4 linked regions of the Xenopus tropicalis genome follow. The protein of the gene in region 3 interacts with the protein of the main gene of each other region in a pairwise test. Links are inferred from orthologs where the notes say so. Each region holds a gene or a part of one and is shown on either strand. Other genes may lie near its edges. The genes, in order: txlna, tbc1d22b, deup1 and esrrg.

Region 1 (4,222 bases), about 79 Mb from region 3:
ACAATATGTACTAAGAATATCTTCCAGCTGCCTACTTAACTCTTCAGACACATCACATACAGTAACAGAATTACCAGCTGCTCCTTCCACTGTAAGACAACCAGGCAACACATCAGCTGATTTTAAATCGGTAAAATTGATAGTATAACCAAGTAAAGTAATAACCAAAAAGTAATAACCAAAAGTAAAGCAGAATTCACACCAATTTTGAATTAATTAAGAGGAATTCACAATACAGGTGAAGTTTTACACTGAAGCAGTAAGCTATATTAATAAAGCACTATATACCTCTGAAAGGTTAACTGCAATGAAACAAATGAAAACAAGTCCTACCTGATAGGACTTGTTGCTACATCGGAGTTAATTCTACACCTGTGTTGTAAATTCACCTAGCAAGTTTCCAAGTTATTAAAGTTAAAGTCGCTAACCTGGCCATAAATATGTACACACTAAAGAGATCAGGCCACAAATTCAGAATTGCTTATTGAACCCACTGTGTGGTGGGTCAGATCTGACTATCTTGCCCTTTTAGACCCATATCAGCTCAGGCTGATTGACCACTGGGACCGCGCCAAGTACCTGACTGTCTGACATGGAAATATATGGGCCTTTGTAATATTCCATATCAGAGTTGTTCCTGAACTTATGAATCATGTAAGGTTTGTGACATAAGGGGAGATTAGTTGCTCCGTAACAAATCTCCATTATTGTGGTGCGACTAATCTCCCCGCAGTGCCATCCCACCGGCGATTTACATTCTAGCCGGTGGCATGGCATTGCGGGGAGATAAGTCGCGCATGACTAATCTTCCAGTGTGTCACAACCCTAAGGCGTTAACAGTGACTCTGATCTCAGGGTAGTGTATAATATAAACACAGATGGAACAGTGCAACAGCTGACCAAGGGCTATCACATCATAAAATGCAGTTACTTTTTAAGTCTATCTCCTAACGCTGTTGTGTGAATTAGATACACCTGTGATGGACAAGGAGGAGACCCACAGACCAGTATGAAGTGAAGGCAACAACTGTAAACAAAGGAACAACAACAAAAGGATGCCCAGCAGGGCGAAAAGGCAATGAATAGCAATTTGCTCATACCCTCAAGGTGGTAGAACAGGTTTTTAGACCATGGGAATAAAGTTCAAGAATGAGAATCACAGTCTGTACAACACTGTAACCTACATGACACCTTTAAAGGAACAGTAACACCAAAAAATGAAAGAGCTTTAAAGTAATAAAAATATAATGCACTGTTGCCCTGCACTGGTAAAACTGGTGTGTTTGCTACAGTAACACTACTATAATTTATATAATAAGCTGCTGTGTAGCCACGGGGGCAGCCATTCAAGCTGGAAAAAAGGCGAAAAGGCAGAGGTTTCATAGCAGATAACAGATAAGTTCTGTAGAATACAATAGTGTTTTATCTGTTAACTGCTATGTGCCTGTGCCTTTTCTCCTTTGAATGGCTGCCTCCATGGCTACACAGCAGCTTATTTATATAAATTATAGTAGACTTTCTGAAGTAAACACACAACTTTTACCAGTGCAGGGCAGCAGCACATTATATTTTAGTTACTTTTATACCCTTTCATTTTTTGGCGTTACTGTTCCTTTAATACCATTATTTGGGAAACTAATCATCTAAAGGACACTACTAACTTGGAGAATTCTATGGGTCATCATACAACATCAACCTAGCTGTGACTGTTCTTTGGGTGTGGCTATCCTGGGAAAGGGCTAGTAAGAGTTATGCTTAGTTGAATGGTATCCCTCATGTATATAAACAGCATTTGTTAGTGAAGTACTTTTCTCTCCCTTCTATTGCACCTTTTCGTTTCCCCTTTTACCTCCCTCCATTTTAGTTTCCCCTTTTCCTTTTCTTTTACTTTATTATTTTGTAAACACATATACCACTTATTTAAAAATCAGGCTACAGGGTGGAGCTTGAGAGAATAGTCTAAATGACTGATAACTTTAATGAACTAAAGAAGGTCTTGACCAAAGGTTGAATCTTCAATGCTGGAAGGCAGAACTGAAAAAATCCGACACCCACTATAAAAAAAATGCTACTACTAACCTTCAGTAGCAGGGTGACAAACTCCAGGTGTAGTCACGTTCTCATCTGTGGCTGGAGGAAGTGAGGGGCTTGATGAGGTAGGGGAAGGCCCTTTGGCTGTGCCATTCTCCAGTTCTTGGTCCTTCATGACTCACTTCTAACAAAAGGTAACAGAAGCAAAGTATGGCATGTAAACAAGAAACTTCACGTTTTTTTCTTAAGAATCTAGTTAACCCTGTATGTTTGTAGGTATAAAACAATTCAATCAATGAACCTTGTTAGCATTAACCACTAACTTATCAAGTAGTTAACCACCTAGAAATAGATAACTCATAAGCTGGCACATTGGATATGCATAGCTCAATGTGCAGAGTAACTCCAGGTCCGGCCCATGCCATGACAACCCTTACTAATGTAGGTTTTGGGGCAACTACTAGTCTGCATAATGGGCACTCCACACCTAAACTGAAGATTTGCATCCCCCCACATTTTATACTTCTTAATTGTTTTATTTATGCAGGGCCACTACATGCTACCTGTTGTCAGCAAACTTGTATGTTGTCCTTGTCGCTCTACACACGGAAGCTGCACCTCAAGCGATGCAGCAGTATGACAAATGATGTAGTTCTGGTCTGTTCCTTGTGTAAGCGCTGAACTGTACACTTGTTTCACACAAAGTTGTTGTCCCTGCCAGTGAGGTTGCGCTGACTCCTTTTCCCGGAGGACACGATTAATAACCGGATTTACCTCACTCTTGCATCCGCTCCGGTAACGCTCACTCTCTGCCGGAAGCCACAGGCACAGGCACAAATCCAGGCCGCAAGCCGGACACTTCTTAGCCAATGACACGCAGCTCCAACAAGCCTAAAGGCCAATGCGCTCTCAGAGGCGGGTCTAACGGAAACCTCTGCGTTCGGAAGCAAGATTTATCGGCGCTGCTGTTGATTATAAGGAAACAGAAACTGTATAGGGCGGTAGCAAAGGCGCGAAAGTAAAAACTACAATTCCCTATAAGCCTTGTTTGTGCGCAGTCGTACGCATGAGTACCACCTTTTTGTGCGCTCGTTTGTTATATATAACTAAGATTCATTAAACTGTGACCCTTGATTTGACCCTGTTCATATAGTTTTCTCGTTTTAAACAGGTTATATTTATAAAAATAAAGCAAAGGCTTATTGAAAGTTTTTTAACATTTCTAAATTGAAATAATATGCCCTTGATACCGTTTCTTTTTATTAACATTGTTAGTTTGTCAGTCACAAGAATAATGATACCTCAAACATTGTTTCCATAACTAATAACATATTGACCCCCAGTATTTCATAAAATCCTAGTGGCCCTAGCAACAAAGACATTAGCAAGATGGGGCTGCTAGTGGGGGTCACCCACTCAAAAACGTGTGGCCCATTTTGTTTTCAATGCGGCCTTGCTAACTGCGATTTTACTGTGGAACTCACTGTTTTTCCAAAATGCAGCTTTTTTCCCTCAGAATTCCAGCATTGTTGTTCTCACATAGGGACGTTGCGCCTGACACAATTGCAGGCACAAGCAAAACCACGCCAAGCCCAACTATAATGAAAATGTAATAGTTTTATCTCATGGAAATGAAAAAAACTTTAAAAATATAATCAATTAAAAATTCTGCTAATATGCTAAGGGGCATATTTCTTTTATTTGGGCACAAAATAAAATAAATATGCTGGTAGGTGGCAGGGGCCTACCACGCAGGGTCCCTGTGTGACCAGTGGGCAAATAATTGGAGGGGAGGGTCCTGCTTAGTAGTATGGGCCTCATGACTACTGCTGGCGCACTCCTTTCCCATATCACAGTATACTTTCATGGTATCACATTTACAATTATTACAGCATTATTTATACTACTTTTAAGGTACCTTAGTATTAACTGAAGGCAAAGCTCTAAATAAATTTTTGGATGTTATGGGACATCAGACGGTAAAGGTGGGGGTCTATGCAGAAGAAAAGAATTGGGCTGCAATGATTAAAGGAAGAATGGTATACAGTGGATGTTGGGTTGAGATAGAGTAGCATAATATAAAAGGCAAATGTGTGGGGGGAAAAAACAAAAAGTGGAGTAGGGTTTTTACAATATACCCCCTGAATAGCAATGAAAGTATGATTATTGCTGGCCAAGCTGGCGAAATATT
Region 2 (4,327 bases), about 100 Mb from region 3:
GCTGTAAATCTGTACTGAAATATTAATTTTCATGAAGTTGCAGTGTTGGGAAAAACAAAATGAAAATTACCCTGAGATGTTTCAAATGACTTCACATAGTTATCCATTATGTATTTTTAGTATTGTGAGTGGCAGATGAAGTGATACTGATCTAAGCAATAAGAACTGCCTACCCTGACTGTATAAAGTCATTAACAGGATATTTGCAACAGATTTTGTATTTTTAATGAAAATAGGATAGTTACCCGTTACCCATGTTGTGTTCTGCTCTACCCCTGCACTGGGGCACAGCAGAACACAGACATCACTGTATGCCGTATCAGTGTTTCTCCCTGCTTTTTTGCTCTACAAATAAGATATGTGCAGTGTGCATGGGAATTCGTTGATATTTTTTTTCCAAACTATAGTCCGGCCCCCCAACAGTCTGAGGGAACTTGAACTGGCCCCGTTTAAAAAGTTTGAGGACCCCTGAATTAATGTGCGTACTTATTGGGTGGTGTATAAATATCAATTATAATTACTGAACTGTATATATTTCTTTTTTCTCTCTTTCCCTTGAACTTTGAGCACTGGTATTTTATTTTATTATCTGCTGGAAATTAAAGTTCACCCTTACACATACAGCTTATATACATACAAAAGAAACAAAATGTTTGCTTTGACACTGACCGATTAGGTAATCATTTAGATGAATCTTCCTTGATGCATCTTATATGTAATAACTGTTAAGGGCTCTGGCACACGGGGAGATTAGTCGCCCACGACAAATCTCCCTGTTCGCGGGTGACTAATCTCCTCGAATTGCCATCCCACCGACGACAATGTAAGTCGCCGGTGGGATGGCACAAGCTGCGCAGGCGATTTCGGCAAATCGCCGAAGTTGCCTCGCGAGGCATTTTCGATGATTTGCCGAAATCGTGCCGCCGCGTCTGCCATCCCATGCTATCCCATCGGCGACAATGTAAGTCGTCGGTGGGATGGCAGACGCTGCAGCGCAATTTCGGCAAATCATCGAAAATGCCTCGCGTGGAATGGCAACGCGGGGAGATTAGTCGCCCGCAAACGGGTAGATTTGTCGCGAGCGACTAATCTCCCTGTGTGCCAGAGCCCTTAGTAAGGGCTCTCCATCTCAACTTCAGCAATATGTTTTTATATTATCATAAAAAGTATTGGAGTTAAGGTAAAATTTAGCACTATGTAATAAATTGAACCTGTAAAAAATGCTTTGCAACCAAAAAATATACTCCTGACACTATAGTAGCGCACCTGCAGTGACCCTGTGGAGATGATCTTCACTGACAGATTTTGTAACAGAAGGTTGGCAAGGGGACTCCTCCCGTAGCTTGAGGTGGCTCTCTATAACTTGTGCAGCTGTCACTTCAGCAACCCTGGAGTTAAGAGTCTGATAGGGTGAAGCATACAGGACATCTCCTCCTCCATCATCATCATCAGCATCATCATCATCCTCAATATCCCAGGCATCACTAGTATTTCTTGCAAACTCATGAAAACTAGATGCTTTTCTGCTTTTCAAATGAAGTGGTTGTCGCCTTGAACGATCAGAAATATAACTGCCAAAAAATTGTAAATAAGGGTAACAAACAAAAGTTTAAATTGTTGGCATAGATAAGGTATTAATATCCATTATAAAAATATGAACAGAAATTTAGCCAAAACATTGTATACCTTTTATTGAGACGAGGGTCTAAAGGTGGGTGCTGGGCCCCATACACTGGTTGAATACTGAGAAAAGGATAAAGGTATTGACAAAATAAGATCATTGCATATAAAACCGGAATAAAAACAATGAGTAAACAAAGACCCCCAGAAATCCCTATATATCAGCTCCTTACAACTTATAGCTTTCTGTCCTTTTCATAACAAAGATCTCAATTTTTACTTGAATTCCTGCAAATTACATTACACATGATGATCTTAATATAGAATAAATGGCTGTCAAGATTTCATTATCCCACAAAACATAAAAAATGTCTATTGTTGTTGTATATTATTGTGTAATTAAACAATATAAACATACAACGTTTGCAAAGGCGATTTTGACTCTTTACTGTATATATGCACTAAAAGGTATTATGCATTGTGACAAATAGTATGAGACCAAACGGAATTGTGCACAGTCCCTAAGGTGCCAGCATTGATCAAGAAATCCTTGTTCTTCCCTCAAGTTTCCGGCAACAATCCATTGTCAGTAAACTGGGCCTCATTAAAAGGCATACTTAGTCACTACTGTCAAATTAAATAAACTCAAACCCTCACATGTACATATTAACCCCAATAATAATTGGACAAGCCCGCATCTTAGCACGTATATCTTTTAATTAAACATAATGCCATTTTCACAAGGAGACTGTAATTTCCCATTCCTTGATCTTTCCGAATCCACTCCTACTTTCAATAAATCAACTCATATACACAAACACACACTACTCAAATGTTCTGGTCTCTTCGTTCTTCCTACAAGTCAAAGCTGTCCAAGTTTTTCTATGAAACTCCTCAAGCACACTCCCTTTCATGATCGCCTTAAGTTGTTACCTTCCCGGAAGCTTTGTACTCCTTTTCCAGAACTGTCGGTTATTCTCTGACATCCTGCAAGTCCACTGTATTTCGTTTTGTAGGGTGTGCTCACCCGCTCCGGGGATCCGCTTCCACCATAACGGAACCGGGCGGGTAGAGATTCCTAATTGGCGGATTTTACAGTATCATCCAATTGAAGCCAATGAACGTTAGCGATGCTACGAGGCTACGGTGCTCAGGTGACGTTTTTAGCATGGAGCGCTCATAGGAAATCAACCGGAAGTGTTTGGTTTCGCCATCTTAGTACTCTCTGCGCTAGGTTGTAGAATTCATTTTTTTTGCCGTTGCAGCGGAAGAGTGTTTTTTTTTTTCTCTAGATTTGGTTATTATGTAACTTTAATTCAGGCGGTATGTATTAATGTAGTAGAATTGTGTTTTGTAGTTTATGTAAGAAAAAGAGGAGGTGAGAGGACTTTGTATGGCAGATCATTTTAGACCTGTTAACTTGGTGCAAAGTTGATCAGATTTTTTGAGTTTTTTTTATTTTAAATTGGAGAAATCATATATGGTGCATCGTTACAGTTGCCACATTTTCTGGAAAAAATAGCTTTTCCTATTTGTTTGTGTTTATACAATATTTCATACCTCCCAACATTTGAAAAGTAGAAGGAGGGACAAGAATATGTTTTTCATATTTTTCAGCCCATGCTTACTTTATGGCCACACTCCAAAACAGGCCTATTTTACAAAACCACACCTGAAAAGTATAACATACACAAAGTGCATCAGAAGACAGACACTGTGACCCCAATCATTTTATGACATATTGTGGCCCTAAGGATTTAATTACGCACTGTGCCACCTGTATATCATGACAGACTCAGTGAAGTACAAGCATCCCATGCTACATATTGACCCTCAGCATCTCTAATACCCATTTCAAAACAATTCAAAACTCAGAAAATCACCAGAGCTGTATGCAGTCCCATCAGTAGAAAGGACACACAGACACTGGTAGCCAGGGCCCCCTATAACATTGGTAGCCAGGGACCCCCTAAAACATATATGTCAAACACAAGGCCCGGGGGCCAAATCCGGCCCACCTGGCTGTTTTATGTGGCCCTTGGTGAGTGTGTCTGACCATCCAGCCTGATCAATTTCCATTTTCCTCACATAGTAACTAAAACTAAGGGGTATATTTATCATGCTGTGTAAAAAGTGTAGTGAAGCATTTCCAGTAATGTTGCCCAAGGCATCCAATCAGTAATCAGATTTCAACAGTAGCAAAGCTTCTATTGGCTGCTAGGAGCAACATCACCGGTAATGTCTTACTCCACTTTTTACACATTGTGATAAATATACTCCTATCTATCTTACTAAGTATATTAATAAAAAATTTGGCCCGAGACTTAGCCTTTGTTTTAGATTTTGGCCCCCTTATGTGATTGAGTTTGACACCCCTGCCCTAAAACATTGCTAGCCGGCCCAGGGCCCCCTAAAACATTGCTGGTCCTCCCCTATTTTGGTAAGAAAAGTTCTATCCTTATGCCCCAGTCTTGTTAAGCTTGGGGCCTCTGGTTCAATCCCCATATTAAGTACTTAGAAAGGTTTAGCCCTTGCCAATGGTATTTTAGGCAGCAGGTAAAATAATACAGATATTTTATGGGAAGGAAATAAATAAAATAGTGTCAGTGTAAAACATTTCATCATGGGTTTTAAACACAGTTGTGGAAAAACTAATCCTAAATACAGAGCTATATATTTTAGTAAGGCTTGGCTAGAATAACAATAT
Region 3 (3,567 bases):
ATTGCTCTTTGAAAAAAGTCACCACCCTCACGCTGGGTCAGATCGGGATGATCAGATTGTTTGGCCCATGGGTCATCAACTGGACCTCTTGTCTATGGTGGCTCATCTGGTGAAGGGTGTCATGAAGTGAAAGACCCACATGAAGTGAAAGACCCAAATCTCCTTCTCATACTTGTCCCGGGAGGGGAGCCCCTCTGGGGTTCATTTATAAAGCCTGGGCAAATTCACACCTGGGCAGTATCCCATGGCAACCAACAAAAAACTTTTCAACCAGCAGGTGCCTGAAAAAAGCTAATCACTGATTGGTTGCTATGGCCAGGTGTAAATTTGCCCAGTGTTAGTGCAGTTCTGAAGGAATAGGAAGAATTACTGAAACAACTGTTGCCATGAAACACAATATATTTTTTTTTACATCACTTGGAAAAACAAGCTCTGAAGTGCTATAAAAAATAATTGGTATTTTATAAATCGTAGAGCCATGAACCCCCTAGGTAAGCGATTATGACTGATGGGGTCTGGCTATTAGGTTTGCAAGGAAGGAGTTTGTATTTATGGAAATTGCGCCAGTTGGTTGCCCATAGCAACCATTGACATCTTTGCTTTTTTTAAAAAACTTATTTACCAGAATAAATGCTTTGGATGTTGCTCTTACCCGATCACCTTTACAGATGCTGATATCAAATAATATAGCAGTCAGTAGGCACGATCACAATTGTTTTGCCCACCGCATTTTAGTATCACAAACGGGCAGGTCCTGAGTTCAGTACTCTGGGGCAGTGACTGATGCGAATAATGTATAATCTCTATAAAGCGCTGTGGAAATGGGTCGGCGCTATATAAATAACAGGAAATAATAAACAGGCTGAAACTGGCCCCTATGAAAACTGCCTGATTTGCCCATGTTTGCACTTTCAGTCAGTTCTCATAAAGGGTAAGTAAAAGGCAATGTGATTCTGAGTAAGAGATAGACAGCACTGTGATATAGACATTACTGCAGTGCAGTCCATTTCTTCCATGTAGCTGACCAGTTATCCAATAAAACACTTTCCAAGATACCTTTTGGAACAGGCCTGCAGTTGGTCAGCATTACTTTAGTATAAATATAATGAGAAATAAATGTAAAGATTAGTTTACATGCATTCCCCTAAACAAACATTATTGCCCAACTCACTGCGCTGATCCTAGTCACAATGAACAGATCATGCTGGCAGCCATTGAACTGGAGTTGGCATACCTAGACATATGCATTTTTCAACCATTAAAATTCTCCACCCAACACATATGTGAGCAGTCTTTGGCTAGAATAAGAAATTATTTTGTGCAGCCGGTTGCTTATTCAATCAGAAGCGACCAAAATGGCCCATTCTGCCTTTTCATATATTGATGTCTGGGCAGATGGATGCAAAATAATGGTGGTAGTGACCCAAAAGGCCATGTACTTTCCGTTCAGCAGAATAGAGACTGGAATAGTAATTGGAGAAAAATAAGTAATAATAATTACAATAATAATACAATTGTAGCCTCACAGAGCAATAGGTTTTTGGCTGCTGGGGTCAGTGACCCCCCATTTGAAAGTTGGAAAGAGTCAGAAGACGGCAAATAATTTAAAAAACTGTAAACAATAAATAAAATGCAAGTTGCTTAGAATTTGTCATTCTCTTCTCTTTGGCATCATCGTACTGTTGGATCAAGGCCGCGGGCACAAGTGGCACACATGCCAGGCAGATTGATAAAGTAGCTGGAGTCTCAGAGCACTAACGGATATAGAAAGTAGGGATGCACCGAATCCTAATTGGCATAAGCTAATTACGTTTCTGAAGGTTTAAAATTTTCAACTTCCATGTTTGCTTGACAAAAAGGTCACGTGACTTTTCGTATTCAGTTCGGCCAAAAGCGTGGATTCGGCCGAATCTAAATCCTGATGAAAAAAGCTGAATCCCGAACCAAATCCTGGATTCGGTGCATCCCTAATAAAAATGACTTCCATCTGTAGATATCTTGGCCAAAATATTTTTTACAGAAATCATTGTCTAAAATCTTGACATCTTGGTTGGGAACTTTGTATAATGTGCTGATGCCATGGCAGCATCAGATGTTTAGGAACTTAGTGAACAGCACTATTAGAATGTGCTCGATTGGTGGATTCGAAAGTACCAGATATTAGATTAGGCAAGAATGAGATTGAGTCAAATAGACATCAATGGACGGTAATGAGAGTCAAGTTAAGGTGTTTGACCACCGCTGTTCTCTACCCGATGGCAGTGATGCCACGTGTCCCATCAGCCTTTGGGGAGAAGGCTTGTTGGCTCTTCTAGATGCTCTTGGAAGCCCAGATTGATGGATAGATTGAGATTTGGGGCAAAACATGCATTTGCTGTACTAGATGTTCTTGAATCTGTTAATGATTCTTGTTATGAGTGATGGGTTCTGAGCCCAAGCTTTGCCCCTCAGAAGGGTACTGAGTAAGAAAACAGTCCAAAAACCTCTACCTTTAGGTTTATTTGTATTGTTTGATATATTTGTAGATAAATTCAATCCATAAATCAGTCAAAGCTTGTAGGTATTTGTCTTCCTGTTACATGGAACAAAGCAAAGCTCAAGAGACAGAGCTTAGCTGAAGGAAAGAACATTGGACCCTACAGACAGACCAAGGGAAGTTCTAAGTTTGCCTCTGTAATACAATTTTTGCTGTTCTGTGCACATAATAGGATTTATTTTGTACTTCATCCCATTTTTGCTCACGCTGGATCGCTTCCAGCTTAAAATCAGATTTTTATTCAAGAACTTAGATATCCAGCAGAACATTTCCATTAGAGGATTTTTGTGATTTAATGGAAACCTTTCCTTTGGCTCCCCCACGTTCTATATTTACTCCCCGGCTTCTCATCACATCTAATAATTGTGGTGGCGCAGTTACCAGAAGCCGTTCTTCCATTTCATTTGTCTAATTGATTCTCAGTATGTCGTTACAATTGCAGGGTCACAAAATAATTCTGATTTTATGTGTCGTCCTGGTAGAAGGAGTCGCTGAGCTATCAGGAGCAGCTTTCCAGCCAGAAGCAGCTGCAGAGTGAAGCAATTACCAATAACCAGTCTGAAATGCGACGACTGCGGTGCCTGCTTGATACTTCCCAGGAGACCATCAGGAGTGACGGGGTCATCATAGAAAACCTCAAGTCTACTGTAAAAGAAATCACATTAAGCAGGGACTCGCTGAAAGATGAAAATCAGCAGCTCTTACAGGAACTAAGGAGATGTCAAAAGCAGTCCCAGGTAATGGCCGGATAGATGGCGGCACGCAGCTATCATCTGTTGATCTGTCAAGCGAAATAATAACGTGTCATTTACCCAGCTATCAGGTTACCCGAACAGTTCCGTGTAAATATGGAAATTATTATGAAGAGTTGCTGCCGCAGTTATATCCGCTATCATGTAGGAAGATGCAGAGCTTTAATGGCCACCCTCTAGTACAGGGATCCCCAACCTTTGTTTACCCATGAGCAACATGTTAATGAATAAAAAGCTGGGGAGCAACACAAGCACAAAAACTTTCCTAGTAGGTGACCA
Region 4 (3,567 bases), on a different chromosome or scaffold from region 3:
AGGGCTGGCTTCCATCTCTTGCAGTTAAAGACTTTTTTTAATTATTATTATTATTATTATTTTATTTCAGCAGCAAAAAAGGAAGAGGAAAAACCTGTATCTTCAGGATACAGACAAAGCTGCTAAAGTCTTGCTGCTAATATCAGCGCAGTCAATTGCTTTGCGTTCAGTAGTAAAGTTTATTTGCCAGAACTTTTTTTTTTTTTTACTTTTCCCTTATTCTACCAATCAGCACCCTGGGGACACCAATGATGCTTTTAGTCAGACCTTGGCCTCGAGCATTTCCAAAAAAAGTTTGTGCATAGGAACTTTTCCTTCTAGTTTAATGTTGTAAAAATGTTGGACGGCCTTGGTAGACGTTTGCCGAAGAAGAGGCAAGGTCATCAATAGCTTGCCGGCCCGACGGGGGTCTTCGATATGCTGCCCAGCTTCGTAATCCTGCAGAGCCTCGTGTAAGACATCTTGAAGCTTCTGGACAGCTTCTATATCTTCTATATGCATGGAGTCTGTAAAATAAATGATAAGTGATTATTACTCAATCAGTTAGTTAAGTCCATACATAAAAAGAACTGACTAGTTTCAACAGTTTCAAATACAGGTATAGGGCCCATTATCTAGAATGCTCAGGACCAAGGGTATTCCGGATAAGGGTTTTTTCCATAATTTGGATCTCCATACCTTTAGTCTACTAAAAAATCAATAAAACATTAATTAAACCCAATAGGATTGTTTTACATCCAATAAGGATTATTTATATCTTAGTTGGGATCAAGTACAGGTACTGTTTTATTATTACAGAGAAAAGGGAATCATTTAACCATTAAATAAACCCAATAGGGCTGTTCTGCCCCAATAAGGGGTAATTATATCTTAGTTGGGATCAAGTACAGGTACTGTTTTATTATTACAGAGAAAAGGGGATCATTTAACCATGAAATAAACCCAATAGGGCTGTTCTGCCCCAATAAGGGGTAATTATATCTTAGTTGGGATCAAGTACAGGTACTGTTTTATTATTACAGAGAAAAGGGGATCATTTAACCATGAAATAAACCCAATAGGGCTGTTCTGCCCCAATAAGGGGTAATTATATCTTAGTTGGGATCAAGTACAGGTACTGTTTTATTATTACAGAGAAAAGGGAATCATTTAACCATTAAATAAACCCAATAGGGCTGTTCTGCCCCCAATAAGGGGTAATTATATCTTAGTTGGGATCAAGTACAGGTACTGTTTTATTATTACAGAGAAAAGGGAATCATTTAACCATTAAATAAACCCAATAGGGCTGTTCTGCCCCCAATAAGGGGTAATTATATCTTAGTTGGGATCAAGTACAGGTACTGTTTTATTATTACAGAGAAAAGGGAATCATTTAACCATTAAATAAACCCAATAGGGATGTTCTGCCCCCAATAAGGGGTAATTATATCTTAGTTGGGATCAAGTACAGGTACTGTTTTATTATTACAGAGAAAAGGGAATCATTTAACCATTAAATAAACCCAATAGGGATGTTCTGCCCCCAATAAGGGGTAATTATATCTTAGTTGGGATCAAGTACAGGTACTGTTTTATTATTACAGAGAAAAAGGAAATCAATTTGAAAAAAATTTAATTATTTGATTAAAATGGAGTCTATGGGAGACGGACTTTCTGTAATTTGGAGCTTTCTGGATAGCGGGTTTCCGGATAAGGGATCCCATACCTGTAATACAATTGCTTTTTTAACCATGTCCCACCATCACCTCCTATTTATAAAGATCATTACCACATATTTCCACTGTAACAAATACAATGGCATATTCGTTGGCGTCACTGATGCCGGGCAAAGCTTGTGCTTCAATGAAATGGATGAATCTCAAGTTTAAAGCGCTTCAGAATGTGGCAAGAGTTCCTTTTTATTGACCATTTGGTCAATAAAAATGAACTCTTGCAGGGGCAATAACTAAAGAGAGCAGACTAGGGGTAGGCAGCAGAGGTTCCTGCCTGGCGCCCCCTAATCATTGCACCCTAGGCAGCTGCCTCTTCTGCCTACCCCTAATTCCGGCCCTGGCCAATGGCGAAATGCAGAAATTCGCTGCGAATCCATGCCTGCTGAAAAAATTCGCTCATCGCTAAATTTCATTCCTATTTGATCTTTCAACCCTAAATAGATTATGCAGTTTACTAGTGATCCCTACGGGGTTCATCAGCCACCATTACCTCTGCAGTGATTCCATCAAGCACCCCAAAGTCAATTGGGTCATTGGGATGTTTGACCAAACTGCATAGTATACTCCAAAAGTTCATTGACCAATATCCCAAAATATGTAGGTGTGAGAATGTCAACAACTTCTAAATATGTTTGGGCACACTCCAAGGAAACAAAGCTACATATTTTATACAGAAATCCATATGATAACCCAGGGATCCCCAACCTTTCTTACTTGTGAGCCACAGTCAAATGTAATAAAAAGGGGAGCAACACAAGCACCATAAAAGTTCATGGAGGAGCCAAATAAGGGCTGTGATTGGCTATTAGGCAGCCTCTATGCACCCTATCAGCTTACAGGGGCTTTATTTGGTAGGAAATCTTGTTTTTATTCAACCAAAACTTGCCCCCAAGTCAGGAATTCAAAAATAACTCCCTGGTTTGGGGGCACTGAGATCAACATCCAAGGGGTTGGCCCCTGAGCCACTGCTTGGGGATCACTGTGATAAACTATACAAATACACAATAAACTACACTGTAACAAAGCACTGTAAAAAACTGATTCTATCAAAGACCATCGACAATGCTATAGATGAACTGTTAATCACAAAATCAATTAAAAACAATATTTCTATAAACCGTCACACATTTCCATCTCTCTGGGGGGCAATTTGGGCAGAAGGTCTCCGCTCTGTAGGGTTGCACCAAATCACAAGTCGTCATCCACAAGTCGGCAAAAGCAATCTGGTTTTTCATTTTTCAGCGCGGCTGAGCCCAGCCTGAGATTGATCGCCACATATGGCCCCAGAAAACAAACTGTCAATACCTTGAATGCTCCAGAATTTGAACAAATAGCCGTCTGCCCATTCAAGCCACTCATTGCATCCCATTTAACAGATTTTATTGACAGTTTCCTTCTTGTAATTAAAGGGAAAATGACTGGCCAGCCACCAAGATAAAGTTCAAAGAAAGGGTCAAAACAAAAGCAGATGGAGGGGCACGGTGTGACTGTCAATGGCACATAGCATGGGAGCGTGTTATTGACATACAGGTATCTAATGATCAGCATGTTATTAAGCACTGATCTATCATCAACTATATGCAAATGCTAAAAGGGACTTAAGACCACAGGAAAAGCATTAAGGTGACACAAAGGGAAAACAAAGCCCAAACGATTTTTACTTATCTGATCCCGGTCACTGCTTCAGCACATTTATGCCCTCATGATGGCTAAACTCTTCTTAACCCTTAACGAAAAACCCTTTCTGGTTTTTTGATCACATATGTTATAGAATAGGCATGGGGCAGTAAAAATGTTTTTTTTTATTGATAGATAAAGGTCTATTTGGCTGTCGGCAATGAAACGGTTACAT

What was found.
Region 1: the proteins of deup1 (region 3) and txlna interact in binary tests that used the Homo sapiens proteins (3 or more experiments, as listed by UniProt). The two-hybrid records come from large-scale screens. The link is inferred for Xenopus tropicalis from reciprocal best matches to the Homo sapiens genes DEUP1 and TXLNA.
Region 2: the proteins of deup1 (region 3) and tbc1d22b interact in binary tests that used the Homo sapiens proteins (3 or more experiments, as listed by UniProt). The link is inferred for Xenopus tropicalis from reciprocal best matches to the Homo sapiens genes DEUP1 and TBC1D22B.
Region 4: the proteins of deup1 (region 3) and esrrg interact in binary tests that used the Homo sapiens proteins (3 or more experiments, as listed by UniProt). The two-hybrid records come from large-scale screens. The link is inferred for Xenopus tropicalis from reciprocal best matches to the Homo sapiens genes DEUP1 and ESRRG.

The regions. Positions count from the first base shown.
Region 1 is NC_030678.2:86,591,319-86,595,540, reverse strand, and holds the start of txlna (alpha-taxilin), read right to left. Parts: upstream 2,833-4,222; 5' UTR 2,595-2,832; intron 2,216-2,594; 5' UTR 2,207-2,215; coding exon 2,080-2,206; intron 90-2,079; coding exon 1-89. UniProt on the Homo sapiens protein: May be involved in intracellular vesicle traffic and potentially in calcium-dependent exocytosis in neuroendocrine cells.
Region 2 is NC_030678.2:65,166,639-65,170,965, forward strand, and holds the start of tbc1d22b (TBC1 domain family member 22B), read right to left. Parts: upstream 2,819-4,327; 5' UTR 2,607-2,818; coding exon 2,554-2,606; intron 1,744-2,553; coding exon 1,687-1,743; intron 1,572-1,686; coding exon 1,267-1,571; intron 1-1,266. UniProt on the Homo sapiens protein: May act as a GTPase-activating protein for Rab family protein(s).
Region 3 is NC_030678.2:165,842,978-165,846,544, reverse strand, and holds part of deup1 (deuterosome assembly protein 1), read left to right. Parts: intron 1-3,018; coding exon 3,019-3,273; intron 3,274-3,567. UniProt on the Homo sapiens protein: Key structural component of the deuterosome, a structure that promotes de novo centriole amplification in multiciliated cells.
Region 4 is NC_030681.2:12,595,229-12,598,795, reverse strand, and holds the end of esrrg (estrogen-related receptor gamma), read right to left. Parts: intron 507-3,567; coding exon 262-506; 3' UTR 44-261; downstream 1-43. UniProt on the Homo sapiens protein: Orphan receptor that acts as a transcription activator in the absence of bound ligand. Binds specifically to an estrogen response element and activates reporter genes controlled by estrogen response elements.